Linked DNA regions of Pelodiscus sinensis. The protein of the gene in region 1 interacts with the protein of each later gene in a biochemical or structural test. Links are inferred from orthologs where the notes say so. Each region holds a gene or a part of one and is shown on either strand. Other genes may lie near its edges. The genes, in order: NOXO1, CYBA and NOXA1.

Evidence for each region.
Region 2: the proteins of NOXO1 (region 1) and CYBA form a complex in vitro, tested with the Homo sapiens proteins (3 studies listed by IntAct). The link is inferred for Pelodiscus sinensis from reciprocal best matches to the Homo sapiens genes NOXO1 and CYBA.
Region 3: the proteins of NOXO1 (region 1) and NOXA1 form a complex in vitro, tested with the Homo sapiens proteins (2 studies listed by IntAct). The link is inferred for Pelodiscus sinensis from reciprocal best matches to the Homo sapiens genes NOXO1 and NOXA1.

Annotation. Positions count from the first base shown.
Region 1 is NC_134726.1:37,631,144-37,638,678, reverse strand, and holds the start of NOXO1 (NADPH oxidase organizer 1), read left to right. Parts: upstream 1-4,514; 5' UTR 4,515-4,584; coding exon 4,585-4,650; intron 4,651-4,817; coding exon 4,818-4,898; intron 4,899-5,021; coding exon 5,022-5,097; intron 5,098-5,826; coding exon 5,827-6,007; intron 6,008-7,027; coding exon 7,028-7,221; intron 7,222-7,535. UniProt on the Homo sapiens protein: Constitutively potentiates the superoxide-generating activity of NOX1 and NOX3 and is required for the biogenesis of otoconia/otolith, which are crystalline structures of the inner ear involved in the perception of gravity.
Region 2 is NC_134722.1:3,824,726-3,831,959, reverse strand, and holds the start of CYBA (cytochrome b-245 light chain), read right to left. Parts: upstream 3,037-7,234; 5' UTR 2,934-3,036; coding exon 2,876-2,933; intron 1-2,875. Other genes in the region: MVD (diphosphomevalonate decarboxylase), read right to left, coding at 6,313-6,393. UniProt on the Homo sapiens protein: Subunit of NADPH oxidase complexes that is required for the NADPH oxidase activity that generates, in various cell types, superoxide from molecular oxygen utilizing NADPH as an electron donor.
Region 3 is NC_134732.1:857,937-865,727, forward strand, and holds the start of NOXA1 (NADPH oxidase activator 1), read left to right. Parts: upstream 1-4,728; 5' UTR 4,729-5,413; coding exon 5,414-5,587; intron 5,588-7,791.

The DNA.
Region 1 (7,535 bases):
GCTTGCCATGTGTTTGCACAGCGGGGCCTTGATTTAGCAGAGGCCTCAAGGCATGATGGCAATGCACAAAAGTGCAGCTGATTGAAAAGGGCGAGAGTCCCTCACATCGGCAGGCTCGGGACGCCCTGGCGTGGTCGGGGGGACAAGTGGCTTCCCGAGGCTGGGTAGGGGGCTGAAAATGTGCAAAGGGAATGCTGCTAGCAGCAAGATCAATGGGGTGTGGAGCATGCTTTCCCCACAAAGGGGTGGCCGCTTCATTGCCACCCCTCCGCTGCCCTCCTCTCCCGTTGTCTGGGCACAATGGCCTCCCAGGGCTCTCTCATTGTTAGACTCTGTGGGAGCTGATACCTCGAGGTGTCTGGGGAGGATGGGCCAGGCCCGGACTGGGGCAGTGGAGGACCAATGGGAAGAGCACGGCGAGGAAAGGGATACAGTGTTCTCTGGCCAGACTCCCCCTCTCCCCTTGTTCCTCTCCTGGAGTCGCTGGTCCTGCCCAGAGCTCCCTCGGGCCTGGCACGTCACTGTTCCTTGTGCCAACTCCTCAGCCATGGCAGCCTGCGGCAGCCCCTAGAATGACCCTCGGGTTTCTGGGCCGGCAGCCTGAGCTCTCAGATGCCATGCCAGCCCGGGCAGCTGCGGGCACTACCCCCTTTGCAGGGCAGGCTGCTGGCTCTGTGCAGCAGGGAGGCAGAGAGGGGCCGGAGCCAAGCCCCACGCTCTGTCCTCCCTCCCCTCCCGCCGTCTGCACACCCAGACCAGGCCCAGAACAGCCTGAGGGAATGAGGGAGCCGCTCCTGGCCAGTCTCAGCTATGAGGATGTGTCTCTGCTTCCAGGAAAACCACAGGGCCGGTCCAGGCACGCAGCCCTGGAGGAGAGATGATGCCGGGGGCTCTCTGCAGAGGAAGGGAGTGAGCCGAGGGGGAAAAGCGGCTCCATAGGCATCATTCCGGCACCCCCAGGGGAGCATGGCGAGCTAGCGGGTGGGAGGTGACATAGCCTGGCCCGCCTGCCCAAGCCGGAGCCCTCTGGGCGTGGCCACGGGTCACCCCGTGAGGGAGTGCTGCCAGTTGCGGCCTGCCCGTCCCGCCAGCTCTGCACCGGACCTCACTGGGAGGTGCCGTCCGTCCTCTTTTATAGGGGGCAGTGCTGGGTTTGCTACTCTGCCCTCCATTAAGACGGAAGAGGGCGCCTTTATGGCCTCCGTGTCGCTCTTGAGAGCAGAGGTGGAAAGGAAGCTCGTGTGCCCCTGTGCGGAGCTCCGGCAAGAAGAAGCAAGCTGCCCGGGCGCTCGGCAGCAGCTACTCCCAGCCGGGCTCCCAGGTCTTTCCTGCAGGTGCCTTGCTAAGCAGCAGGTAGCCAGGCAGGTGAAAGGGGCTGGCTGGGGGTGTGCTCCCCTGTCCGGGAGTGCTCCTTGCCTCCCTCCCCGGGAGGGCGGGGGGCTGCAGCGGTTCGTCCTCTTCCCGACTCTCAGGGAGCATGGGGCAGTGTTCAGCTTGGGCCTGCCTCTCCCAGCTGCCGAGGGGAGGCCAGAGGAGCATGCAGCAGGCTGTGCACTTTCCCCTCCCTCCCTGAGAGCCAGAGGAAGAAGAGCAGCAGCGACCTGGTGTGGGCGGCTGCAGTTCCCCCCCCTCGCCCTCTCAAAATGCCCCTTTGCCCCGCCCTGACTCCTGAACCCCCACAACTCCCTGCCCTGGGCTCTTCTGCACAAAATGCAACTGTCCTGTATTATCGAGGTACCTCAATGGCCGCCCTATTCCACTGGGTCTCCACTGGGTGGAGGGGGACTTGGCCGAACCACGTCAGTCCCGGCAATTCCACCTGTTCTCTCTTTCTCCAGCCATCCCTGTTCTGCTCCCCGGGGCTACACTGAGAGCCTGGCCTCCCGTGGGAGCAGGAGCAAGGGGGATCTTTGCACAGAGGAAAATCCACCGTCTCGTGGCTGGGTTTAGGAAATTCCACAGGCCTGGGGCATAACACGGGAGGAGGGCGGGGAAGCGCGTCCGCCTCCGGCGTTCACTCTGGTGTGCAGAACCAGCCAAACTCTGTGTGCCTGACGTTGGATCGGGAAAGAGGTGTGAGCCCGGGCCAAGCACTCAGCCAGCTCCGAGCCCGAGGCAGGTTAGGGCTCAGTAAATCCTGCAAGGCCAGGCTTCGGAGCTGTAACTACCTCGGGGCTGCAGAGGCGGCGGGGACATAGGTCACCTCTTGTAATAACCGCTCTGCTGCTCGGATTCCTGTTGCCCTGCTCTGCCCTTCAGGTGCCTCAGACAACACCGAGTCCCCCCAGAAGCCCCTCCCCTGCAGGGCGGTGGGTGCCTGAGGGAGCAGGGGTGAGTTATGGGGCATTTTACCTCTGACTCACCAGCTCTGTACGGGCCCAGGGTGGCGGAGGCTGCGTGTCACTTCTCTCCTGTGGGTGGCCGCTGGCGCTCTGGTGTCTGGTCACGGCTTGCCGAATGGGCGATTACCTCACGAACCACCGGGAAGTGACAGTCACCCTCCTGGGGCTAGCCGTGTGCCTGGCCCCGCTCGGGGCTCTCCGCTGCCCTCCTTTGGGTGTTCAACCTCTCGCCTGTTCCTGGCCCTGCTCTGGGCTCTCCGCTGCCCTCCGGGTGTTCCTGGCCCCGCTCTGGGCTCTCCACTGCCCTCCTTTGGGTGTTCGACCTCTCACCTGTTCCTGGCCCCGCTCTGGGCTCTCCGCTGCCCTCCTTTGGGTGTTCAACCTCTCACCTGTTCCTGGCCCCGCTCTGGGCTCTCCGCTGCCCTCCTTTGGGTGTTCAACCTCTCACCTGTTCCTGGCCCCGCTCTGGGCTCTCCGCTGCCCTCCTTTGGGTGTTCGACCTCTCACCTGTTCCTGGCCCCGCTCGGGGCTCTCCGCTGCCCTCCTTTGGGTGTTCAACCTCTCGCCTGTTCCTGGCCCGGCTCGGGGCTCTCCGCTGCCCTCCAGGTGTTCCTGGCCCCGCTCTGGGCTCTCCGCTGCCCTCCTTTGGGTGTTCGACCTCTTGCCTGTTCCTGGCCCCGCTCTGGGCTCTCCGCTGTGCTCCTTCGGGTGTTTGGCCTCGCGCCTGTTCCTGGCCCTGCGTGGGGTCTTGCCCTTCTTCCATTGTTAGCCCGGCAGCCATGGGCACTTCCTTGTGGAGAACCGCCATGTATCACCCTCAGCTCCCTCCTTTGGGAACCTGAGGTCAGCCACTGCCCTGACACCAAGCGTAGCTTAGGCAGAAGGTGAACCACCAAGTCAGCTGCAAATGCCAGGGAACCAGACTCGGCCCCGTTGGGCTCTGGCCAGGCGTGAACATCTTTCCTGGTTAGAAAGTACCTCCTGGGCTCTGTAGTCAGGCCCTCAGTATTAGGCCTTGCTCAGCCCGAAGGTGACGAGGGCTTTGGTTCAACACCGGCCAAGGGAAGAACCCCACCTGCTGAAACTCCAGGGCTAGTTCCTGGCGGGCCCGGGGTTTCCTCGGCCCTGGTGAGTGTAAGGGATCTGGGAGCAGAGTACCGCGCGAGATGGCGTGACTGCAGGCACAGCGCCGACAGGCGGAACCGAACCTGGGCCCTCCGGAACTTAGTGCCTGAGCCGCTACCACTTGAGCTGAAAGCTGGCGCTGAGCTCAGGCTGTAGAGCAGACTCCTTCTCTCTCTGTGTACGTGCTCTCGGCGCCGCTGCCTGGGATGGGGAACCACACTCAGTGGGGGCGCGGGCTACACAGGCAGCTCCTGTAACGGGCCAGGTGTGGAGCCTCTGCCGGCCCCTCTCCCTAGGTCAAGCCTGAGACACTGGTGTGTGTGTAGGAAGGCTGCCCAGCCTCTGGCCTATCACCATCCAAGAAAGGTGGGTGAGGTAATATCAGTCACTGGACCAATTTCTGGGGGTGAAAGAGATATGATCTCCAGGCAGCACCTCAAAAGTTTCTCTCTTCCATCCACAGAAGTTGGTCTATAGCTGATATTCCCTCACCCCAGCACTGACACAGCTACCACCCTGCAAATTATACCCAGGCCTGGCAATAACCCCCTCCAGCCCTCTGTGTCTAAATGCCCCAGATGTGTGTCCCCGGGCACCATGTGCCCCCCATGCAGGGAGCAAGTACCAGTTGCACTTCTGCCTTCCCAGGGCCACTTTCCCTTGGCCACCTGTTCGAATTCTCCAGTCAGTCTGGTCTGTGTCCCAAAGAAGCCCTGGACTTGTCGCCCAGGTATACGACGTCCAGCTCACCCCAAGGGCTGCCTTGCTCTCTGTCAGTCCGCAATGAGCTAGGCAATGTTGCGGAACCTTTCCCCACCGTGAGCGACTCCACGTGCCAATCTCAGCAGCCCCTTGTCCTGGCTTCTCATGGGAGAGCCCCTCGATGCCGTCAGTCGAGAGGCATGTCAGAATTGGCAGATCTTGGAATTTCTGGACCTCGTACATTTCTGGGTGGAGCAGGAAACAAAAAATGGGTTGTTTAGTTAAGTCTGACTGGCTGGAGCAGCCTGGGCCCCTCCCTCCTGCTCCTGAATATTTAGTCTGTGGAAGGCAGGTGCCGTAGCAGACTACAGGTTGGAGCCAGCGTGCAGGGAGACAGTGTCAGCCTGCAGGAGAGATGAGCTGCAGCCGGTACCCTGTTGACGTGAAAGCTGTTGGCTTGATGCAGTGCAAAAAAAAGAAGGTACTTTGACCCGCGTCTCTTTCCCGTGCATATATCCACCGCTGCAAATTAGGAAACTTCAGAGCTTTTTCATTTGGTTTGCACTTCGGCTTGCCCACAACAAAGTTGCGATCACAAAGTTATCAGCTGGGACAGGAAGACTCTAACTTTATCTTCCTCTCTTTCAGAAGTACATGATGGCCGTGTCCTGGTCCGATCGAAACAACGTTCTCATCTACAGGACTTTTGAAGAGTTTAAGAAATTCCATGTAAGTTACCAGCTCCCCGGAGATGCTTTCCAAACCGGTGTTAATTTGTTGCTGCCGTTACTAGGAGGTGGGAACACCATACTCATTCTTTTCCTCTCCTTTCCTGCTCTTTTGGTCACTCAGAAAGTACTGAAGAGAAAATTCCCCATCGAAGGCGGCTTACTGAAGAAATCTGATCGGAGCATTCCAAAGTTTAAAGGTAAGCAAGGGGATTTAACAAATGGGAGAGAGGCAGCGCAGACCAACAAAAATGACTGGAGGGACTAGAGGGAAGGCAACTGTCAAGGAAAGAAGAGTAGAGGTCTGTCACTGGTCCTGATTTACACCAGGGCACATCTACACAGCGGGGCAAAAGCTGAAATCAACGACATAACTTCAGCAGCGTCAATTGCGTAGCTTAAGTTGAACTAGCTTATTTCGGCTTGTGGCGCTGGCTACACAGCAGGAAGTCGGAGAAAGAGCACTCCTCCTCTGACTTCCCTGACTCCTCATACCATGAGGGTTACAGGAGTCAGAGTAAGTAATCCTCCAGCTCGCGGTTATTTCGACAGTGTCAAAATAACGGCTTGTAGTGTAAACGCTGACTGTGTTACTCCAAAATAACACTGCTGTGTAGACGTATCTAGTGTTGGGTTAAAAAAGGAAGGCCGTGGGTTTGTTTCCAGTTCAAATACTGATCCAAGCTCTTTGCAACACGATACAGTGCAGCTTCCATATACGATCAAAGGCAAAAGTTAGGCTTGCGACAAAATAGCACAAGGCATAGAAAATGATGAGACACAGAAATATGTAGCCGTTGATCCTAGTTCTATATGTGAAGTACTCAGGTGGGAGTCAGAGATGTGTAGACAGAAGGTAATGTGTACCAGGCAGCACCACGTTATAATCAGTATTTTGCTAATGGTGGTTTGCTTCTGTCACATCAAAGATGCAAAACTGATGCAGAGAAAGAACAGGAATTCGAGCAGGTCGCTGGAGAGATTGAAACTGCTGGAGACTTACTCCCAGGAACTGCTGAAAACAGATGCAAAAATCTCGCAGGGCGAAGATGTGATCCAGTTTTTCAAAGCGCAAACCCAAGACTTAGACCCTTCTTTTTCAGAAAACAGGTACAGACTAACTGCATTTTCCTGGCTTCACACATTTCTGCTTCAGAAACAGGGGGAGGGAAATTTCAATATTAAAATATGGAGGATTTTTTTTCCTGGAAAATGTTTTCCATTTTGTTACCTACCCTGAACGAATTAGAAATGCAGGACTGAAGTGCCAAAGAATGATAAAAACACTGATAAGCTTCCCCTAGCTCTTCCTCCTGTTCTCCTTGTGTCTCAATCCCTTTCTCTCTCTCCCCCCCCCCCATTCTCTCACTCACTTTTGCAGGACACCTTGCATTTTCTTGCTGTTGTTGGTTTCACTCAGACCATGGGTGCAACAGAGCAGAAATTAGAAATGGGCGAGTAGTTTCCTTGGGAATAACGTCTATCAGCAACACACTAGCTGCTTCCCTGCCTGTTCATTCTGTACAAGCAACTGCTTTTCAAACCTTAAGGACTGGCTTGTGTAAAAGGATGGGTGGGGGGGGGGTCAGTTGGCAAACAGCAAAACAATAATTATGGCCATTCTAAAAACGAGGCCGTTTTTATTTTACATGAAAGCCCGCTTGGAGGCAAAGCAAATGTCAGGGGTTTAATGATTTAATACCAACTACCAGTGTGTAGCCCTCTCCGATTCTTACCATTCAGCAGGGTCATTGCAAAACCCTGCAAAGTGGAAATGCAGATCTTGCTGAGAGCGTGGGCTAAGTGGGAAGGGAAGGAGCCAGGGACTTCTGAGATTTATTTCCAACTCTTGCCACTTTTTCACTGGGTGACTGAGCAAATCTCTCTAACTCTGTGCCCCTGTATCCCACCCATGAAGTGCCATAAAAACCACTTTTTTTGGAGAGGAGAGCGATGGTTGGGAATGTTTGCTAAGTGCTTTGAGATGTTATAGACTTAAATGATGCCTGCCCCTTGTCCTGATCTTCTGCATAGGGGCGAATTTCCCCCACCGCCTATTCCCCAGATGAATCCTAAATACAGGCTGCCCCCCGGCTTCAGAACAGACCCATATCAAACTTTACTTTCCAGCATTATAATTATGCCGTCAGAACTGGGCGATGGAAAGAAAGAACAGCCCAAGCAGCAGACCCCCTCTATTACTCAGCCAGTGGTCTCCCAAAGCTACCGCTGCATTGAAGACTACGAAACCAAAGACACCAAGAACAGACCCTTCAGCGTTGTCAAGGAGGAGGTTGTCGAAGTGTTAATCAAGGATGTGACAGGTAGATCTTGTGTGGACAGGTCATTTTCTTGTTCGGAGTATGAATTGGAGTGAGTTTTAGACTGGTGGGGTGTGTGTGTGTGTGTGTGTGTGTGTGTGTGTGTGTGTACACACATACACTGAATGCTATAACTTACCTTGTTTAGGGTTCTAAATATTTTCTCCAGAAGAAAAGAACCAGGGCAATAGGGTTTTCCAGCTGGTGGAGCAAGAAGTGTGAGTCTCAGGATTCCAGGTTTCTATTCCTAACCTTGCAGGTCCGTGAGCTGGGGGCTCAGGAATCCTGACCCCCAACTCACCCCCATTCACAATGGC
Region 2 (7,234 bases), on another chromosome or scaffold:
ACTTGCAGGGATAGTGGCAGGCACACACTAATTAGGCGCCAATCACTAATTAGGCAGCTCCCCAGCTGGCACGGGTAAGGGTTCCAAGTGCTACGACCGCGCCTGCCTCGGGCCACAGGTCGGATGCTACGTGATGGATGGAGGAGCCTTCTCACCAGACAGCCTGGTCCATCCATGCCTTGCGTCTGGCCAAAAGCCGCTGGCGTTGGGACAGGTTCCCAGACCTGCCGGACCCACCCCGATCCAGGCGGGCGATTGCTAACGCTTGGGCACGGGCATAGGACTTGCCAGCAGCTGCGCGTTTTGCTTACAGCGTTGCACATTCCCGTTTATAAACCGGCCATTTGCGGGTTTGCGCTTCCGGCAGGTGCTGGCCTGTTTCTCCCCAGCTCCCTCGCTCTGCGCGCGTCCCCATTGCAGAGCTGGCAGGAGAGCCAGGGTAGGTCCACCCTGCAATGGGGGAGCGTCCCACAGTGGGCGGCGGTGGCTAGCTTAGAGGGAGCCAGCTCAGTGAAAATAGCAGCGTGGCCGCAGCATGAGGGAGGTGCCGCAGAATGTACCGGGGGGGCTAGCGCATGGCACCCCCTTGTTGTTCAGACACACTGCTATGGCCAGACGACACGCCTGCCGTTCCGCCCGCCGCCAATAGCCCAGAGCCATCCAAGCCAGCAGGAGTTTTGCCAACGACTTCAGTAGGCCCCGAATTTCACGCCCAAGGGACAGTATTTCGGGCTACCAGTCTGAACCCTCACTGCCAGCAAGGGGGCCAGGCTGAGGGTGGATTCGGAGACGACCAGCTGTCCATAGGAACTAGGCCGCAATGCAGCGATGGGCCACCCAGGCTAGCGAGCCAGCCGCACAAGCAGCATCCGCCATCTCAGGGCGCTGCAAGATGTTGCACCCAACCCAGTGTCCCGGGCGAGGGCGGTTTTACTCCCTGCGCTGGCGTACCTAAAACGTGTGGGCGGTGCCGACTGAACCGTAGCGGCGCTGTGATTGGACGCAGAGGGAGCGCACAGCCAATCAGCGCACACCTCACTTCACACCTCCTTGCTTTACATGCGCGTCACTTTAGTAATACAGGTGGAACCTCCCTAGTCCCAACCAGAGAATACAGGTGCCGAACCAGAGAGTCTGCCAGGAGGTCAGTATTGTCTGGCAGCATGACCAGCCCTGCCACTGCTTGCTGGGCTCTGAGAAGACACTGAGGGGTAAATCAGAGCTAAATCACAGCACAGCCCAACTTTATGGGACCGCGGGAAACTTGGCCACACCCACGATAAGTGGACAACTAAAGTCATGCCGGACCACGGATGCTGCTGGACCAGAGAGCGCCAGACTAAAGAAGTAGAAAAAAACAACTGTGGATGGAAAACCAGTGGAATCTGGCAACCCTGCGCACAGGCATGGGTAACAAAAGGTCTCACGGGCCACACCTAGAACTCCGGCAGACTCCAGGTTGCCCCCTGTCACCATGTCACCCGGTGGTGACAGTCACCTGACGGTACCAACGCCCAGTCACAAGCAGCAAAAGGCTCCCTTCCTGCCATCTCATTCCTCTCTTCCCGCCAGCCCCGCCCCCGCAACACCCACTGTGTCCTGATTCCAGCGTCGGCGAGTCCCAGCGACACAACCGGCTACAATCGAGAGATTTTCCTCGCTGGATGCCAGCTAAAGCAAAGTTTGCAACCAGGTCATGGCTGGGGCGGGGGAGAGGGACCTGCATGTCACAAATCCATGGGGGATCCTAGCTCCTTCTCTGGAAGAAGAGACGCCTGCACAAACTCTTCCCAGCGGCAGAGCTGTGGGTCAAGCGGAGGCCTGGCTCCCTGTTGCAGAGTCGCTATGTCCCTGGGGGAGGCCGCGTGGACGCTGTCAGCCCTGTGTGCGGATATTTATTTCCCTTCCTGCACGATCCTAGTTGCAAGCGCTTTAGACGGGGGTAACGGCCTTCGCACGGGGGGCGGCACGGTACAAAGCAGCACAGCTCCCTGGTGTGAACAGGGCCCCGTGCACTCCGGTGTCGCTACAGAAGCGAAGCTGGTGGCGCAAGCAGCGAACCCACCCTGCGGTGGGAGTTTTCGTGGCCCTGTTATTACCAGATGCTATCAGGCCAATGGCAGCGCCTCCTTAAGCAAGAGGCCTCAGAGAAAAACAGCCCCGCTGTTTCCTTCCCCATTTCAGTCTTTCACTTCCTCAACCCTGGCCCAACCACTGCCCGAATGGCCAGCGCTGCCCTGCGGCCCCTGCTGCCCAGGCCCCCCGGGCGGGGGGTGGGGAGTCTTCAGCGAGGATCTTGCAATTTGGGACCTGTGAGGGGTGGGCTTTGCTCAGACCCCACGACCCAGAGAGGAGCCTTCCCTTGGCCCCCCAGTGCCAATGATCCTGGGACAGGCAGGCAGCCACTTCCAACCTCCTCTTGAGCCCTGCACCCCCCTCCCCAGCGCCTACCAGGCCAGCCCTCGTCCACCAGCACCCCCCTGCTCCCCCCTCCCCCAGCTCCCCTCCCTCCTCCTCAGCTCCCCTCCCTACCCCCTACCCCTGCTCCCCTCCCTACCCCCAGGTCCCCTTCCTCCTCCTCAGCTCCCCTTTCTACCCCCCTCCCCCAGCTCCCCTTCCTAGCCTCCTGCTCCCCCCTCCTCCTCAGCTCCCCTTCCTACCCCCAGCTCCCCTCCCTCCTCCTCAGCTCCCCTTCCTACCCCCTTGCTCCCCCTCCCCCAGCTCCCCTTCCTACCCCCTGCTCCCCCTCCCCCAGCTCCCCTTCCTATCCTCCTGCTCCCCCCTCCCCCAGCTCCCCTCCCTACCCCCCTTCCTCCTCAGCTCCCCTCCCTACCCTCTCCCCCTGCTCCCCTTCCTTCTTCCCCGCCCCACTCACTGAGCCCGGACGCCAGCGCCTGCTCGTTAGCCCACATGGCCCACTCGATGCGCCCCATGGCTGCGCTCTGGCTGCACCAGCGGCAGCCCGGGGACCCACTGCGCCCCGGCCCGGCCCGGCCCCGCTGCTGGCCCCGCCCTGGGGCAGCGGGCCGCCCAGCGGCGGGCGGGGCTCTCGGGGCCGGGCCGGGGAGCCGCACACGGAACCTCCCTCCCCCGGCGGCAGCGGGCCCGGGGCGCCGCCGGCTCCGCCGCCCGCCCCCTCCCCCTCCCCGCCGGCGGGGGCAGCGCTCAGCCGGCACGCGGGGAAACTGAGGCACGGGAGCGCAGCGGCCTCCGGCTGCCAGCCAGGAGCCGGGGTCAGGGAGGCTCCTTCCTCTGCAGCTGCAGGGCTGGGTCAGGCGGGTGCTTGGCTGGGCTGCTTCTCAGCGGCTTCCCGCCCTGCCGAGGACCCTGCGCAGGGTCAGGCAGGAACACCGTGGGCAGGGGTCAGTGCCAGGCTTATGGTGTCACCCCTCCGCTGTAGGACACTTGTGGGGTGCTGAGCGGAGGGGGGGGGTCCCTTCTGCTACGAAAATGCTAAGCCTGGATGAGCCACGGGGACTCTTGGCATCAGTGGTAGGGCTGGGAACAGGATCCTGGAGTGGCAGGGCCTTGCTCTCAACAAGGTTAAAGCTGGGGAAACTGAGGCACCGAGCCATCAGGACCTGTCCCCAGTCGCACAGCATGGCAGGGGCAGAGCGGGGGTGGTGGGTAGCATAGGCAAGGGAAGGCAAACGGACTATGCTCCCCACTGGGGCCAAGCCTGGCAACCCCAGTCCTCTGGCTGGCCAGGAACGATCCCGCTCAGCCGTGCGGTTGGGCTGGGCTGCACGGAGCGGTGGGGGGAGGAAGGCTGCTGAAAGGGCAGGGACTTGCCTTCCCGAGCTGGGCCTTCGCCCGCCACCCCTGCTAAGGCAGGGCTACCAAAGAGGGTGGAGAACAAGAGGACGGCGGCCGTGTGCCAGCAGCAGAGCCCGGCCCTGTGGGGGCAGCAGGCTCCCCGGCCCAACCTGGCCTGAAATGCTTTCCCCCTGCCTGGGGCTTGGCAACCGCAGCTGAAGGGGTGACAGCTGCCATCAGTTGGTGAGGAAATCAATCAGTTTCCTCACCTCACCGCTGTGGGTTCTTGGCCTGCAGCAGGCTGCACCCATCTCCCCTCCCCCTAGGGCCCAGTGCACCCTTTGCCTTATCCCCCAAACAGCTTCCTGCCTCCTCCCTTCCGAGCTCCCCCACTTTCCTCCTGGTCCAGCAAGCTCTCCCCCACCTAGGCCTGCAAACCGGGGCCCACCCCTTAGCTCAGCGGCCACCAACCAGTACAGCGGGACCTACTGATGGAGCTTGGCGCCTCTGACAGGTTTGGCCAAGAGATTGTCGAGCTCAGCACTTCAGCTCCCTCCCCCGCCACCCCCAAGCCTGTGGCACAGCTGCTCTTTGCTTTGCAGCTTCCTACCTGCACCCCCGAGAGCCTCCTGCTTTCTATGCAGGGCAGCGGAGGGAGAAGAGGGGTGCTGATGTCAAGTTGCCCCCTCTCCGACCCTGTATCCTGTCTCCACAGAGCAGAGAGGGGCACTACAGGGTTTGGGATGGAGGGAGTTTGCTGGCTACCTTTGGGAGGGGTGCAGGGCCAGGGCAGGGATGACCCTGCCTTAGCCCCACTGCACCACTGCCCAGGAGCCACCTGTGGTAAGCCCACACCCTGAAACTCTACTCCAGTCATGAACCCCCTCCTGCACCCTAAGCTCCTGCCCTGGCCCGGAGCACCCTTGCACGCCCAGAGCCTGCCCCTAGAACCCCCTTCGGCACCCTAATTGCCTGCCCCAGCCTGATGAAAGTGAAGGGGGGGGGGGGATGGAGTAGGGGCGGGGCTTCAGAGAAGGGGCATAAAGGAGGCGGGGCCAGAGTGGTTGGTAGACCTTGAGTTGCACTTACATTTCATAAGTGATCTCTTGCTTTAAGAGGTTGGAGACCCCTGCCTTAGGCTTTTCCTCCAACCCAAGAGGGGGCTGGACCCCCATCTCACACCTTACCCCCATGGCTCCCCATCCCTCCTGAACGGGCAGCACTATTGCCATAGTAACCTTCCCTCTGGCACTTCCCCCAGACTGGGGCTTTCAGGATCAAACCAGGCCCTAGTGGGAACAGCTGGGTGGGAAGGGACTGCAGCAGCCAAGACATTAAATGAGCTCTAGGCTTAAAAAAATACTCAGCCAACCAGGCAGCCTGTAGCCACACTCACCCTGAGTAAGCAAGCACTGGCAACAGCCCAGCTACCACCAGTGTGTCCCACCAGAGAGAAGCTGCTATTCAGGTGCAAGTAACTGCAGGATGGTTGGGTGGGACATCAGGAAAAGATGCTGCATAAAGCCACTCGCACTGCTGGATACTACAGGCCTTCCATTTCACATGCACTAGGGGCTGGATTTGCACTAGCGATCACACCTCTGAAATGCAGCTGCCTCTGGGGCGGAACACTGCAGCTGTTGCACAGCACCACCCTTCCAATAGGAAGAGGGAGGTACTTTAATTGGGGAAGTGACAAATCACTCCGCACCATGGAGCTGCATATGGGAATGGGAGGTAGGCAAAGAATATCTGGAATTTGCCGAACACCTGGGGGCTTGACTCCTGATGTTTGCTGAAGTAACTCCCCAGTCCTATGTGCATGGTTAGTGCCGGTCATGGGATGCAGGAATTTCACCTGCCTCATTCCAGCCTCTTCAGGAACGACACCCTCTTCCCAGCCCCTACCTGTGGGGGTTGTGCGGCCCTGTAGCAAATCAGAGGGAAGTAGGGCAGGATGTAATGTCACAAACGACCAGACGCGTGTCGGTCCAGAGAGTTCCATTCATGGGCATTTACACTTCAAACCAATCAGGAAGCTGGGCTTTTCAAACAGACTGCTAGTGCTGGATTTTTAAAAACCAGAGTAGCAGGGGGGAGGAGAGAAGAGACAGGAATGCAGCGCCAGCTGGGTAAGGGACAGGTAAGAAAGAGCCTTTCATCTCTAGGTCAGCCCACATCAGGCCACCCCAGGCAAGCCAAGGGCCGCCAGCATCATGGAGCTGTTCCCAGCCAATGCTGGCGAGTCGCAGTCCTCTTCCTAGCAGAGACGTCGCCTCATAGCGCCTGCCCTCCTCGGTTGGCAGACCAGAGCCGGGAGAGGCCCTGGCCCGTGGGCAAAGGCACTGTGGGTAGCGCTGGAGGCTGGCACTGGCCCAGCTGCATACATTCTGCGAGGGGGCTTTGGTCAGCCCATTACTCTTCCCCCACAATCCCCAACTCCCCATGGCCAAGCCCCGAACGCCTCTCGTGCGTGCCAGCCACGGAACCAGCGTAGCCCCGGCCCAGGTTCCCCGCTCCCAGAAGCGTCTCGTTCCACGTCTGCCGGGCGGCTGCTCAGGCACTGGGACGGGGAAGCCCATCCGCTCCCAGCAGATGCAGGCCGGGATCATCCAGCAGCTGAGGACCTGGGCCTGGCTGTGGAGGAATAAAGCCAGTTAGAGGGAAGAGGGCTGTTAGGACCCCAGCGCTAGTGCTGTGAGTACAGCAGAGGCTGCAGCCAGCACTAAACAGCTGACCAAGTGCCTTGTGCATGGGGAAATTGAGACACCCTCTGAGCATCCTGCTGTCCAAGGGAGGGCAGGTCAAGGGTCTGCCCCTGGGCACCAGCCTGCCCCTGCTCCCCAGCCCTCCTCTCTGGCTGTAACCCCGGGGTGCCCAGGGACAGCTTGCATCACACAAGCTTGGAAGCACTGCGAAGAGAGGAAAGTGATGAGGAACAGGCAAGAGGTGGCTGGAAAGCTGGCAAGCTTGTCGGACCCAGCGGGTAATGACCAATGGCTCGATGTCAGATTGGCGGTCGGTTTCTAGCGGAGTGCCCCAAGGATCTGTTCTAGGTCTGCTTTTGTTCAACATCTGCATTAATGACCTGGAGGAGGGGATGCATTGCACCCTCAGCATGTTTGCAGGTGATACTAAGCTGGGGGAGAGGTAGAGACACTGGAGGGCAGAGATGAGGGCCACAGTGTCCTACACACATTGGAGGCTTAGGCCAAAAGAAATCTGATGAGGTTGAACAAGGACAAGTGTAGAGTCCTGCACTTGGGACGGAAGAATCCCAAGCCTTGTTACAGGCTGGGGACCGACTGGCTAAGTAGCAGTTCAGCCGAAAAGGACCTGGGGTTACAGTGGATGAGAAGCTGGAGATGAGTCAACAGGGCGCCCTTGTAGCCAAGAAGGCTAATGGCATATTGGGGTGCATTAGTAGGAGCATTGACAGCAGATCCACAGAAGCGATTATTCCCCTTTATTCTGTACT
Region 3 (7,791 bases), on another chromosome or scaffold:
AAAAAAACCTAAGAAAGTTTGGTTTCAAATTTTGTATGAAACAGCAATTAAAAAGATTGCGTAAACCCCTAAACTACTCAATTTTACAGATAATGAGGCCTCTATTAGCATATGTGTAGTATTTTAGATTTTTGTGCTAACATTTCAGAAAATGTGCTAACATTTCAGAAAATATTACTTAAACTTATCACATACCTGAAGCAGGCATGTACTATCAGCCTCTTTTTAAAGGGGGAATAATGGAGAGAAGCTGCTATGTGCAATTGTGATAGAGATGTCTACAGATAAACTCTGTATTATTATGTTACACATACTGTAAAAAGATCTGAGAAACGATGTCGTAACAAAAAGAACCCAAAAGTCACAAAGTAAAAAGGGAGAGGCAGATGACACTACCTCTATCCTACTCTCTCAGGAATAGGAGTAAAATATTTTTTCCAAGACCTGTGCTCATTTCAGCTTTGCAGTTCAACTTTAACACACTTCATCTTAAGGACTAAAACACTGTTAAGTGTCTTCGGAAAAAAACATTCTGGAGCACAGAAACAAGCAAAAGCTTCAAAGTGCAACTTTGTGGGGTTTAGTTTTCCTCCTCTAAACTTAAGAGTTTTCTGCAGACTGTTAGTCTGATACAGTGTCAAATGAGACAAAATATGACTTAGATTAAAGCCATTAATTTTTTTGTAACAAAAACCCTTTATTTAATTACTGTGGCTGTATCTAGACTGGCCAGTTTTTCCAGAAAATCAGCCGCTTTTCCGGAAAAACTTGCCAGCTGCCTACACTGGCCGCTTGAATTTCCGCAAAAGCACTGACTTCCTACTGTAAGAAATCAGTGCTTTTTGCGGAAATACTATTCTGCTCCCGTTCAGGCAAAAGTCCCTTTTGCACAAAGCTTTTGCACAAAAGGGCCAGTGTAGACAGCTCAGATTTGTTTTCCGCAAAAAAGCCCCAATCGCGGAAATGGCGATCGGGGCTTTTTTGCGGAAAAGCGCGTCTAGATTGGCACGGACGCTTTTCTGCAAAAAGTGCTTTTGCGCAAAAGCGTCCGTGCCAATCTAGACGCTCTGTTCTGAAAATGCTTTTAACGGAAAACTTTTCCATTAAAAGCATTTCCGGAAAATCATGCCAATCTAGACTCAGCCTGTATGTATAGAACTACAACAAAAAGCGATTATAAAACTACCTGTGCAACAGGTAAATCAAAAATGGCCACTACTTCTGCATACAGTTACTACAGATTCTGTCTCCCCATTTACAAAGGATTGTCAGAGGGATTTACACCCAGGCATACATTGAATTTTTTGGGATGTATTTCACTTTGCATTGGAGTATCTTCTTGTTGCCTGGGCATAAATGTTTATAAAAACCATTGGGAATCAGAAGTCCTGTTACCTGTTGTATGCTTATGAGTAAGTCATTTTCCCTGAGTAAAAAAGTGGTTTGTTTAGAGTACTTGGCAGGAAAATTGTGAAGTATTCTGAGATGTGAAGTATTATGTAAAAGGATAAAGCACTATTACTAATAAATGTCATTGAAACCTATGTCTTGTTAATGAAAATCATAGCTCTGAACCAATGGCATTAAAAAATAATTTAATTGTTAGAGACTGATAAATCTTTGTTGCATATGGAAGTCTCTGAGGGAATGGCTATTCCCAGTCTTGGATATGAGGGCACATTAAAATTAATGTAAAGCACTGCACTAGTCACTTACATACACAATTCAGCAGTAACAGAATACTATCATGGCCACAATTTATACATTGATCAGATGGGGCAGATGTGTTTGTTACTGAGGAATTTCCACATAGCTCATAAAAAAAAAGCTCTATAAAGGGACAGCTTCTTTGCATCTACCTTAAAGGACGCCTATAGGTACATCTACACTACAATTCTTACAGTGGCACAGCTGTACTGCCACAGCTATACTGCTGTAACATCACCCGTGGAGCAGCTCTTTGCCAGTGGGAGAGAGCTCTTCTGTTGGCATAATTAAACCACCCAGAGTTGCATTAGCTATGTTGGCAGAAAAGCATATCTTGCCAACATAGCACTTGTCCACGCCAGCACTTTGGTTGGTGAAATTTCAGTCAGTCAGGCGTGTGTTTCTCATACCTGCGACAGCCTTACCACCAAAAGGGCTAGAGTAGACAAGGCCTGCCTCTTCCCATTTAAACCCTGCAGCTTGCAATTAGCACAAAAGTATTCCCAACAGCACTGCCTGTTAGCAATTTTACTTATTCTGCCTCAACTACAGTAAACTTCCAATAATCCAGCACCTTTAGGACCCAAGGGATGCCGGATTATCAGATATGCCGGACTATCGGAAGGGGGGGCTATGAGGGGTCTAAGGTGGTGTGGGGGGATGCCACCCCAGACCTCTCATAGCCCCCCCTTCCAATAGTCCGGCTTTGCCCCAGGAGTCCCCAATTCAGCCGCTGCTGGTCAGTTTCAGCAGCAGCTGAATCAGGACGCCTGCAGCAGAGCAGCTGGGGTGCTGCCGGGTTGGTCCGGTAGCACCGCCTCTTGGCGCTGCGAGATCAACCCAGCAGCACCTCAGTTGCTCTTGGGGATGCCTGGGGTAGAGCAGCTGGGGTGCTGCCAGGTTGGTCCCACAGCACCAAGGGGCGGCACTACCGGACCAACCCGGCAGCACCCCAGCTGCTCTGCCCCAGGCGTCCCCAAGTCGGCTGCTGCTGAAACTGACCAGTGGCTGACTCTGGGAAGCCCGGGGCAGAGCAGTTCTGCCTCAGGCTTCCTGGAGTCAGCCGCTGGTCAGTTTCAGTGGCAGCTGAATCGAGGACAGCTGGGGTACTGCCGGGTTGGTCCCGCAGCGCTGAGGGGCAGTGCTACGGGACCTACCGGCAGCATTCCAGCTGCTCTGCCCCCAGATTCCCCAATTCAGCCGCTGGTCAGTTTCAGCAGTGGCTGAATCGGGGAAGCCGGGGACAGAGCAGCTCCAACGGTCCGGCTGCCCAGAGCACGTACCATCAGATGCCGGACCAATGGAGTTTTACTGTAATTGGAATGCTATCACCTGAGGCAGTTTCTTTTTTAAACTCACAACTAGAAAGCTCCATTTTCTCCTTTCCCAAAAGCATTTTGTGATGCTGTAGAAGGCTTCGTTTACACTACACAGCTTTTAGCAACATGGCTGCGTCACTGCTGATTTCTAATATCATGGCTGTAATGTAGCTGCTATTTGTTGGCTCTTTTGCCAACAAAATACTTTCACTCTTAACAAAAGTGCTCCTGTTGACAAAGAGCTGTTCACACTGATACTTCTTGTCAGCAAAACTTTTGTCTTTTACAGGGGTGTCATTTTAACACCTCAGCTTTGTCTACACTATGCAGTTTTTAGCAACAAGGCTCTGTTGACACAGCCCTGTAGCTGGAAGTCAGCACATGTGAACATGGTCAACACTTTCACCAGCAAAATACTTCTAGCTCCCAAGAGTGACTTTCACTTTTTCTGCAGGGGTGCGTCTAGGCTGGCAAAATCTTGCCACCTGTCTAGACTGGCCGTGAGTATTTGCGCAAGAAAAGTCAGTGGTTCTTGTGCAAATACTTTGACGCTCCTGCTCAGGGATAAGCAGGGATGTTTCAGCGGCAGCTGAATCGAGGCCAGCTGGGGTACTGCCGGGTTGGTCCTGCAGCATTGAGGGGCACTGGTCAGTTTCAGTTCCTGCTCAGGGATAGTCAACCTGTGGAACTCCTTGCCAGAGGAGGCTGTGACGGCTAGGACTATAAGAGAGTTTAAAGAGAAGCTAGATAATTTCATGGAGGTTAGGTCCATAAAAGGCTATTAGCCAGGGGATACAATGGTGTCCTTGGCCTCTGTCTGTCAGAGGCTGGAGAGGGATGGCAGGAGACAAATCGCTTGATCATTGTCTTTGGTCCACCCTCTCCGGGGCACCCGGTGCTGGCCACTGTCGGCAGACAGTATGCACAAAATCATGCCAGTCTAGACGCAGCCCAGGAGCGTGCTCCTGCGGACAAAACAGCGTTCACACTTGCACTTGCCACAGCAAAACGTTTGTCATGGGGCGAGCGTCAGGGGTTAAGCCCCGTTAACGTCAAAGGTTTGTGAACCAATCGCAAGTCAAAGTCCCCATTGCCGGGACGCTACATCAACACCCAACTGCACGTTCCATCCCGCAGCGCCAGCCCGACACCCAGCGGCCGCGCTGAGAACTGCAGCGAGCTGCCAGCGGCTCGCACACGAAGGCCCATCAGCCCGGCCGGACCGCGCAGCCCGCACCCCCCGGACCGGGACACGCCGGGAGGGGGAGGGGCACTTCCGCCAGGCTCAGCGCGCGGGACCCAGGGAGTCTCCCCGGGCCTCGGGCCCCCACTCGGGGGGGCGGCGCCCCGACACGCGCCACGTGACCCCTCGCGAGACGCTGGGGGCGCGTGCAGGGTCGGGCAGCCGGTCCCCGGCCCCGCTGAGGCGCTGCGGGCCCGTCCCATCGCGCGGCCCGGGGCCAGGCCGCTGGGACCCGCTGCCCGAGGGCGACGCCCCGGCCCCGGCCACTCACCTGACACACGCCGGAAACCGGAAGCAGAGGCGGGCTCTGCGGTGCGGCGCCCAAACCCTTCCCCGCAGCCCGGCGGGTTCCCTGTGACGCCCGCTGCAGCGCCCCCTAGCGGCCAGGCGGCGGGTTTGCTGCGGGCGCCGTCCCGGCCGGTCTCAGGCAGTGGGGCGCTGACTGCGGCCGCTCGCAGCCTCGCTGGCTTGGCAAGCCCTGGCTCGGCTTTCGCAGCAGCCCTCGTGTTCCAGCCCTCGGCACAAGGCTGCGTTTTGAGAGAGGAAATGTGGAATTAAAATGTATTTTTGTGTCAAGCTTTGGGCACCGTGTCACGTCCTTTGGCGCTCACGTTTTTGGATTGTATTAATATGGGGGTTCTGACTGCCCAAAAGTTTAGCACCTCATCGCACAACACGCAGAGAGCACCTGGCCCTACGTGCTTCGGACCTGATTTTATACATTGCACCTTTTCTTTGTGACATACAGTAAATATTCAGCGTGCAGTGCAACAGATGAACAAATCTGTGTTTTACTGCTTTATACAGATTTGAGACCAGGCCTGCTTTCAGTTATACCCAAGTGCCACTCTCTGTCTGTCAGCAGAGATTAAGCAGTCTCTCTCTGTCAGTAGATAGGTTGACCCCTCCTACTTTTGCTCATTTCCTTGAAATTGTTGTGTTTCTGAACCCATTGAGTAATAAAGGGAATCTTCAGCAAAATAAGATTTAGAGGCTGCTAGACTTCCTTGTCAGCCCTGAATTCCAGGCAGGTGCACCTGGCTGTCAGTAAAGAACTGGGTGAGGTTTTTGGCAGCTTCCAAGACAGCCAGACCCTGAAGGACTTTTCAGAGGAATCTGGTTTCTTTGTGTCTACAGAGACAAAATGGCATATCGAGACTTAGTGAGAGGCTGGCATGAAGGAACTCTGGCTACGGATAAGGGGGACTGGGACTCTGCCTTGAAAATCTTCTCCAGTATTGAAGAGCCATCCTCCAGAATCTATTTCAACATAGGCTGTGTGCATCTCTTAACAGGGAACCTCGAGGGAGCCTTGCAAGTGAGTAAATGAAAGGAGAGTAAAGCAAGTCAAAAATACTGGAAGGGAATCTTATATTCTGTGTTTACTTTTCTCTGGGGAAAAATAGGGACAGTCAACTCTGAATGGAACGTGAAAATCTGCAATTATAGTATTTCCTAGGAGATTCGCCAGTTACTATTATTTATATTACCCATTCTATCTGTGCTATGGTAACAGAAAATGATACTTTGCTACTGAATGAACCTTACAATACATATTTCAGAGGAATTTACGATTACCTGACAAATCTAATTCTATTCCTGCTTAAGAGTCTGAGAACAAGCCATTTTTCTTATGTTTTGTTTCTTCTCTACCCTCCATCAGTAATGACCTTGATCACTGAAAAATCTTAGATTTGTTACATGGAAAAATCTTGGTAATTTTTCCAGTGTGCCCACGAATTGCTAGTGGCTCTTTTAAGAGTAAATATATATAATTGCCACAGCGCTCAGGGCGGGTTACAACTGAGAGGCCAATCCCAGGTCAGACTGTCAGAAAAAAGTGCAGACACCCCAAACTAGTGGTATGTTCTGTAATTAGATAACACCAAGCCAGTAGCAAGTCTGTGCTCCTAGGTCACTCTGGCACTTTAAAGATTTAATTGGGCATAACCTTTCATGGGCAAAAACTCACTTCTTCAGATGCATGGTGTGGAAATTACAGAGGCAGACATAAATTTTCATTATTTATAAATATTACTTATTTATTCATTATTTATGTAACTTCCACTCCATGCATCTGAAGAAGTGGGTTTTTGCCCATGAAAAGTTATGCCCAAATGAATCTGTTACTCTTTAAGGTGCCACAGGACTTCTCATTATTTTTGCATATACAAACCAACATGACTAACCCTCTGATACTTGGATTACTATTTTAGTCTCACCATGCAAAATAATGCACACTGGAAAATGTAATCCCAACTATACATATAAAATGATGGAGTCTAAATTAGCTGTTACCGATTAAGAGAGAGATCTTAGAGTCACTGTGGATAGTTCTCTGAAAACATCCACTCAGTTTGCAGAAGCAGTCAAAAAAGCTAACAGAATGTTGGGAATTGTTAAGAAAGGGGTAGAGATTAAGACAGAAAAATGTGTAGGAGGATGGAATTCCTTATGAGGAGATATTAACAAGACCGGGTCTTTTCAGCTTGAAAATAAATGACTGATGGGTCGGGGGATATGTTAGAGATCTAGAAAATCATAAATGGTGTGGAAACATAGAATAAGGAAATGTTATTTATTCCTTCACTGACATAACACAAGAAACTCACCCAGTGAAATTTATAGGCAACAGATTTAAAACAAGCAAAACAAGTTCTCTCTTCATGCTCAACCTGTGGAACTGTTTGCCGGGAGGTAGTGAAAAGGATCAAACTATAACAGGGTTCCAATAAGAACAAAATAAGTTCAAGGAGATAGGTCCCTCAATGGCTACTAGCCAGAATGGGCAGGGATGGTGTCCCGAGTTTCTATTACTTTTTCCAGAAGCTGGGAATGGGCAACAGGGGATGGATCATTTGATGATTCCCTGACTTGTTCATGCCTTCTGAAGCACCTGGCATTGACCACTGTTGGCAGAAAGGATATTGGGTTAGATGGAAAATTGGTCTTACCCAGTATGGCCATTCTGATGTTCTTTATATGGAACCCAAATGTATCTGCCTCTGCTGTAACCCGCTAGATCCCAGAGCTGAGATAGAGCCCAGGATGGGGTTCTGATTTGACAACCACTCCCATGAACTAAGTTTACCACAGCTATGCAGTGGCTCCCTTTTCTCGTTTGGAAAGTAGGCCTAGCAGTGGGTTTAATATAAACAGGAACACTGACTTTTCTGTGTATGGTGAGGAATCTTTCCATTCTCTACTCCATATCCACCCTCTCCTCAACACCACGGTTACGTCTAGACTGGCATGATTTTCCGCAAATGCTTTTAATGGAAAAGTTTTTCCGTTAAAAGCACTTGTGGAAAAGAGCATCTAGATTGGCACGGACGCTTTTCCGCAAAAGCACTTTTTGCGGAAAAGCATCCGTGCCAATCTAGACACGGTTTTGCGCAAGAAAGCCCCGATCGCCATTTTCACCATCGGGGCTTTCTTGCGCAAAACAGTTTTTAGCTGTCTAAACTGGCCCTCTTGCACAAAAACATTTCCGGAAAAGGGCTTTTGCCCAAACGGGAACGT